Mus musculus: one gene and its partner. The protein of the gene in region 1 interacts with the protein of each later gene in a pairwise test. Links are inferred from orthologs where the notes say so. Each region holds a gene or a part of one and is shown on either strand. Other genes may lie near its edges. The genes, in order: Setdb2 and Arl14ep.

Evidence for each region.
Region 2: the proteins of Setdb2 (region 1) and Arl14ep interact in binary tests that used the Homo sapiens proteins (3 or more experiments, as listed by UniProt). The two-hybrid records come from large-scale screens. The link is inferred for Mus musculus from reciprocal best matches to the Homo sapiens genes SETDB2 and ARL14EP.

Annotation. Positions count from the first base shown.
Region 1 is NC_000080.6:59,430,755-59,434,579, forward strand, and holds part of Setdb2 (histone-lysine N-methyltransferase SETDB2), read right to left. Parts: intron 515-3,825; coding exon 389-514; intron 1-388. Other genes in the region: Gm45935 (Setdb2-Phf11c protein), read right to left, coding at 389-514. UniProt on the Homo sapiens protein: Histone methyltransferase involved in left-right axis specification in early development and mitosis. Specifically trimethylates 'Lys-9' of histone H3 (H3K9me3).
Region 2 is NC_000068.7:106,967,826-106,971,650, forward strand, and holds part of Arl14ep (ARL14 effector protein), read right to left. Parts: intron 2,567-3,825; exon of another isoform or gene 2,486-2,566; intron 1,734-2,485; 5' UTR 1,670-1,733; coding exon 1,247-1,669; intron 1-1,246.

The DNA of each region.
Region 1 (3,825 bases):
GGTTCAGTCCATTAGCAGCATAGCAGGAAAGACAGAAGCATCTAGGCAGACATGACGCTGGAGTTGCTAAGAGTTCTAAATCTTCAACCAAAGGAAGCCAGGAGCAGACTGTCTTTCAGGAAGCTAGGAGGTAGGTCTCAAAGCCTACCCCCATGTGACATTTCTTCCAACAAGGCCATACCTCCTAATAGTGTCACTCCCTGAGCCAAGCATATACAAACCATCACATATGGGGAAAGCAAGTTTATAATACATAAAGCAGATAAAATTCACATTAGGGCCTTAGAAAAGCATTTATTTATTGTCTATAATAAACAACAGTAGCATTATACCGCATATCCAGTATATAGCATTAGTAGAAAGTGTCAGAAATCTTCATTTTTCATACCTCCATTTGTGGCAGACCCATCCTTTATCTTCTGTTTCAGTGAATGTAGGACATTTTGTGTTTTCTCAAACATTAAGTCAACTTTACCATCATCTTGTAGCTCCATCCAGAAAGTCTTTGCATCACCTAAGAGTTTAATAAAAATGCACCAATTTCCTTAAGGCATAAGTTACAGGAATAAACTATCATTTCTAAACAAAAATTAAGATTCAGTTGGTCTAACACTTTCATTGAGGAAAAAAAGATTTGGATCATATTTCCTTACAAAAATCAAGAGAAAGACCCAAGTGTCTCACACATTGCTGCTAAATTTAAGAATCTATCAGAAACTGGTGCTGGGGGTGTAGCTCAGTTGATAGAGGAGTACTTGTGTCCCATTGATGAAGCCCTGAAATTTTATTATGTTCAATTCTGTATAAAACTTCATGTGGTGGAACATCCTACAATTCCAGCACTTGGGAATAATAGGAAGATAAATTTCAAGATCATCTGGGGCTACACCGTGAGTTCAAGGCCAGCATATGTTACAAGACAACCTATGTTAAAAAAAAATAAAAGTAAAAAATTTGAATGACACTTATTTCTTAACTGGAATAAAGGAAGAATTATCCCAGGTCAGAATCATAGTAGGGCATGCGTAATAGATAACATGCATCTTTAGCATTTCCAGGATACAACCTCTATTATATGTAGAAGTAGATCATTTCAGAATAAAATATCTCAATGGCCACTGAAGTAACCAAATGTCTAACAATATTACAGTGGTTAAGAGTGCATACTACTATTCAGAGAACCTGAGTCTGACTCCCAGTGCTAATGTTAGGCAGTTCACAACTCCAGCTCCAGGGACATTGGCAATCTGATGCCTCTGGTTTCCACAGAACTGCACTTATGTTTGTTCTCTATCTGTGTATATGTGTGTGTGCGCGTGCGTGTTGTCTCCCCCCACCCCAAATATAGACAAAATAAAATTTAAAGTCTTTTATATTAACTTTACTTGTATTTTTTTTTAATGCAGAATTTACACAAATTGAGGGCCATCATTTTTGGCATACAGTAAACTAATATCTTACTCAAAGCTTTTCTAGAAGATTTTCAAATGGAAAACAAAAGACACTACGAGCTTATATGTAAATCAATAAATAGTATTAGGGAAATGAAATTAAGTAACATTCCTTTTTACATGAAAGGCTCCATATTAGGGACTTACCCATATTAGAGGTAGGATTTAGAAATATTTACAAACTGCTTTTAAAGAAAATAAAGTATATATGTACAATGGATACTTTTTAGCCATAAGAGGAAAACTGAAGGAGGATATGTAAAGTAAAGAGAGTCAGAGACAAAAAGTTGAGGAGGGCATGTTCAAACTCATGCTGGTTATGAGACAGCTGGTCTTATAGAAGCTAAGAACAGAACAGTGGTTATTCACAGGTAGGGGACAGTGGGAGGGATGAGGAGAGGTTGGTCAGCAGGTACCAAGTTACAGTTAAAAAGGAGTTCTGGTATTCTCCAGTAGAACAGGGTGGCTACAGGTTATACACTGTGTTTTTAAAAGCTCTAAGAGGACTTTTTAAAAAAGGTTTCCACCAAAATGAAATTATAAATATTTGAAAAATAAAATAAAAAACTTATTGAATCCCAGTTTTAAAGAGAGGATATACCCAAATCTGAGCATTATCCAATATATATTTGCATTCACATATTATATGTTCCTTAGAAATAGTTACAATTAAAAATTTAAGAAAAAAAATTAGAAAAAATAAAAATAGCTTTTGTAGCATCAAAATTTTCTGGAATTATATACAAGTTTGTCATAGCCTGAGAACAGAGGTAGTGATGCCCAAAGGCATTGATCAAAATCCACTGGTGTGTTTGATTGTGTATCAAGTGGAATATTACTAGAAATGCCAACATGTTTTCATCGAATTATTCCGAAAGGAAATACTTGAAACAAAAAGTGAGAGTAGATACTTAGTCTTAGAACTGATTAATAAAGAGACTATGGCAATACAATTTAAGAAAACAGGAGTTTAGGCTATGCTCAGTGAAGTATGCTGAACAATAACTGGGAAATGGATTCAATTCCCAGTATACCACACACAAATTAATAAACTTTTAAGAAAACAAAGCCAATCAAAGAAAACATTGAAATTGTCTACATATATAACAATAGATGTAACTAAGCAGCTCACATATATTTGTTCTGGGTTTAAATACAGGTATTGTTCCTTCAAGCATCCTTATTATATCATACTGACTTTATTCCCAACATCTCTGCCTAGAGACTAAATCAACGAATTAAGGAGGAACATGAGTGACTTTCACTTCACTGTAAATATAAAATCCTGTATAAATGACTGCATTTTAAACAATTGCAGGGTTTTTTGTTTTTTTTTTTGCTTGCGGTCTTTACTTATTTGTGAAATGTGTGAATGTTCAGCTATGATCTATTAGGTGATAAGAACAAGTTCTACACTTGACCTTAACTAAAAGACTAAGAAGCAATAATAATCTAAAACTGTATATTTTCAAATACACAGTTGAGTATATTTCAAAAAGATCTCTAAAAGTAATATAAGCAAGTACTAAACTTATTTCTTATTCAACTAAGTATTAACTACTGCAAGAACATATCCATAATGAAAGAAGTTTAAGAACTTTATAAAGAAGATAAATATCACTATGCTAAAAGCTTGAAAAAGCTTGTCCTAGTTAGGGTTTCTATTACTGCAATGAGTCACCATGAAGAAAAAGCAAGCTGGGGAGGAAAGGGTTTCTTTAGCTTATACTTCCACACTGCTGTTCACTACTGAGGAGGTCAGGAAAGGAACTCACACAAGGTTCCTGGATATAGGAGCTGATGCAGAAGCCACGGAGGGGAACTGCTTGCTGACTTGCTTCACTTGGCTTGCTCAGCTTGCTTTCTTATAGAAGCCAGCACTTCAGACCAGAAATGGCACCACCCACCGTGGGCTGGGCCTTCTCCCATTGATGTCTAATAGAGAAAATGTCTTACAACTGGATCTCATGGGCATTTCCTCAACTGAGGCTCCTTTCTCTCTGCTGACTCTACCTTATCTCAAGTTGACACACAAAACAAGCCAGTACTGTCTTTGTCAAACAAGAAATACTCAGGAATCATAGTGATCTGACTCTTTCACTAAATTAATTATGAGCTACTCACTAAGTGCAGCAATGCTCACAATATACTGAAGCTTCAGGACACAGGGCTGCCTGACAGATGGGCCCCAGATTTGCAGTGAGTATGGCTCACCATCATGTAGTAAGTAAACTTAGTTAGGGTTTCCATTACTGCAACAGATCACCGTGAGTGAGTATGTCTTGGAATTTTTTTTTTTTAGGGTTTTTTTTTGTTTGTTTGTTTTTTTCCAGACAGGGTTTCTCTGTGTAGCCCTGACTGTCCTGGAACTCAC
Region 2 (3,825 bases), on another chromosome or scaffold:
TATGTGGTAAAGAAGTCAGTCATGTAAGAACAATGGAGAGATGAGGTGAAGACATCCAAGTCTAGAATCATCGAGTATCTATGACGAACTTCACATAATGCTGGGTCCTGGAGATATGCCTGAGAGGAACACAATACACACAACTTAACATTTTAATTTGGTTTAGTAATGCAACAAAAAGCAGAAAACTGAGAAACTACGCCAGCAGCAAGAAAGATAGAATGCTTAAAGAGAGAAACTCGAAGAAGTGCTCCTTGTGGGTAACGCAATCTTCACAGACCTCAGCTTTCCTGATAGAAATGACTGTGTACAGGCCTGAGACCCAGGAAAAGGCATGAAATAGTTCACACTTGTAAAAACTATGTGCTCTTTGAGCACAGGGAGCCCTACATTTAACCTTAACTATATTCAGAACTTAGAGACAGAAACATTAAAAGTCTCAAATATTTGGTGTGCACCCTCCTCCCCCTGCCGTTTCCCCATGGTGACTTCGCTGGCCTCGGTCCTTGGGGCCAGGGGACTCGCCCACCTGAGAGCAGCTTCCCAGTAAGTCCGCCCTGGAGGCCAGGTTTACTCTGGTTATGTAAAATAACCCCAGGGTCTCAAACCAGACATCTTCAAAGGAGAAAACCTGAAATTACATTGCCTGACTACTGGGCACCATGCCTCGGACCTGGCCCCAGTCCAGGGAGGCTGACAGAGGACCACTGTCAAGAGAGCCAGGCTTGTCTTGACTACATGCTGAGTTCCCGGCCAGTCTGCCTCGGAGTAGGCCCCCACCTCAAAACCAAAACCAAAATCAACAATTACCCACTTCTATGATTCTTTTCCTTAAAGCTGTGCTTTAGTCCTAGACAAAGACACACATCCTCCCTGGTGTGTAGTCTCCAGTAGGCCAATATTCACCTAGTTACTTCAGTAACAGAAAAGGATCTAAGTTCCCTAAGTTGGTCTTTGCCAGTGTTCTAAAGACCATTCCTAAACTCTCCTTCCCAAGGTTTAAGAACAGATTTCAAGGCAGCATTGAAATCTTGGACACATGATGTTCTTTTGTTCTAAGCCCTTGTTTACTGCTCATTCTGGACCTTGAGTGTATGGAAACATTTTAAAACATCACTATTTCACCTCAACATTAAATGGTATATGCTAATGAACGTGACAGGAATATGATAAATATGATTTCTTATATTTATTCCATATATCTAAAGTCCCACACTGTAGAAAGCACAATGGCCTCTATACATACATCTGAGTCGGGTTTCCGTCTCTGGCGGTCATCTGAATCAACGTCCACACTTCCATTGATGATCTGGGTACATTTGGGGCAAAGCTTCCAACCAGGTACAAGCTGTCTTCCAAACTTGGCGCTCAGAAAAGTGGCATCATCTAAGTCAATGACGTGCAGGTTCTTTTTGGCTAGCTTCTTGTGTATGTTAAATGGGTCACAACACGACTTCTGCAAATCTTCAAATCTGTCAATATAAATTTTTACGTGATGGAGACAAATTGTATTATTCCCAGAAAGTGTCATTCCAGTTCTAAGCTGAAGTAAAAGCATGTCATTTGATGACAATTCTTTCAATGTCTTGAAACCTGTGTGCCGAGTATAGAAGGTTTTATGGCAGTCGTGTGTGGTACGAAGCTGGACTCCAACTGAACACGGATCCATCGTCCTTGATTCTATCAATTTCCCCCTCTTTTATTTTGTCTAGAAATCTCTTTGATAGGTCAACCTAAAGAAAAGATTAAAAGACAGATTTGTACTGAAAATTCTGATTTGGAAAACTGTAAAAAGTTAGTAAAATGCAGCTTCTTTAGAAAACAAAAGCAAAATACAGCAAACATGGAGTAGTAGGAAATACCAAAAGAATGAATGTATTTAATCATGAAATGGGAGAAAAAGTCTTGTCAGCTCAGATCTACACCAGAATCCTTGAGATCACAACTACAACATTAAGATCACATTACATGGGAGCGAAGTAGAATAAACAAGAAGTATTCACATGAGAAATATTAGAGATTCAACAGAAAAACTGCTTAGAATATGTAGGGGATTTAACAACGATGCTGGAAACTAACACACTGTATGCTTTACATAATATACAAATGTTAAAAAAATACAAAAGACCTTTATGGAATTCTACAAATTCAGTACTATTTCACTCAAAACACAAATGGAAAGCCCCCTCTGCCATCCTGCTTGAGTGTGGAAGCTGACTGCAGATAGAGTACAAGTCCAAAAATGGTGAGAGTAAAGAAGGGCTGATTTACTAGAAAGCTAAGTAAAGACACTATGGTACTGCTGTAGTGCAGACAAACAGACTGGGGTTTGGTGTATGACGAGGTCCTGTGTTACTGTGGTAAATAGATGGCATTACACACCAAAGTGAAAAGGATTACTGGCTAACATGAAAAAAGAAAAATTTCTTCTGGATCAACAAACACAACACAGATGAACAATCACACATAAAAAGCCTAAGCAAACCTTTATGAGGTTGCCATACCACAACCATCTTCTACCTCCAGACATAGGGAATCATCCCACTGTCATCTTGGCCTGGTAACCATAGCAACTAACTGATACATTGAGATTAGAATGGCAAAGGAACTGTAATCACTTCACAGGAAGTGAACTGGCAGGATAACTGCAGGAAGGACTCAAGGATGTAACCTCTAGGAGGCTGCCATTCATGAGGGCATTACCCATATTCCTGTAAATAATCCCAAAGTTCAATACCATAAGCCAAACAAACTCCCTAGCTCACCAGTGGTTACACTGGTGGGATCGTTATTTAGCTTTGTGGCTGGTGGCCTAGTTGTGGTAAACAGATGTTTGTTTAACCTCTGGTAAACAGGGAAAGTTTGTGCAAGGAACTGTGGGGCCTGCTGTGTGAGTACTATGAGGGCCTGCAAAATCCGTTAACAAGCAGAGGATACACTGTAGTCCTTGAGACTCCAGTGTATGTAGGCTGAGACTGCCAGAAATGCATGACTGCAGCTGCATGGCCCTGAAGGCAGCTGCATGGCCCCTGCTATGTATTATATAAGACTCAACTCGGTGGGCAATCTGGATCAAAGAGAGAAAGAAGAAAGAAAAAAAGAGATGGAGGTGCTGGTTGCCATTTCTTATAGGGACCCCAAAACTTGGAACCCAAGGAAAGAATCTAATAGGGTAGTGAAGGAGAAAACAAGGTGGAAATGATCCTCAGTACAGGAGAAAGAAAATTCACAATTCAGCGTGCACGTGGCCTGCAGCAGGAAACTGAGACTACTCTGCCCTGAACTCCCTGTATCAGACACAAAGTCCTGGGTTCAAGTCCCAGCACCGTAGAAACAAATGATGGAATACTCCTACTGTCTCAGCATCTGGGAGGCTGGCTGATTAGAAACTCAAGGTCGGGCCGGGCGTGGGGGCGTGGCGCACGCCTTTAATCCCAGCACTCGGGAGGCAGAGGCAGGCGGATTTCTGAGTTCGAGGCCAGGCTGGTCTACAGAGTGAGTTCCAGGACAGCCAGGACAGCCAGGGCTATAAAGAGATACCCTGTCTCGAAAAATCAAAAAAAAAAAAAAAAAAAAAAAAGAAAAAAAGAAAAAAAAAAGAAACTCAAGGTCTTCCTCAGCTCCCTCCCTGGAGGCCAGCCTGGGCTAGAAACTGTCTCAAAAGAGGGGGAAAGGTCATCTTAGAACTCAGGAAGTTTATGTTTAGAAATCCAAGTCCTTAAAGTACTATAATTTTTGATGGGTCAATTGTAGAAAATTAAACTGTCCATCTAATCACTGCATTTGAAACGAACCAACCAACCGAAAAAGCAAATCGTGTATAGT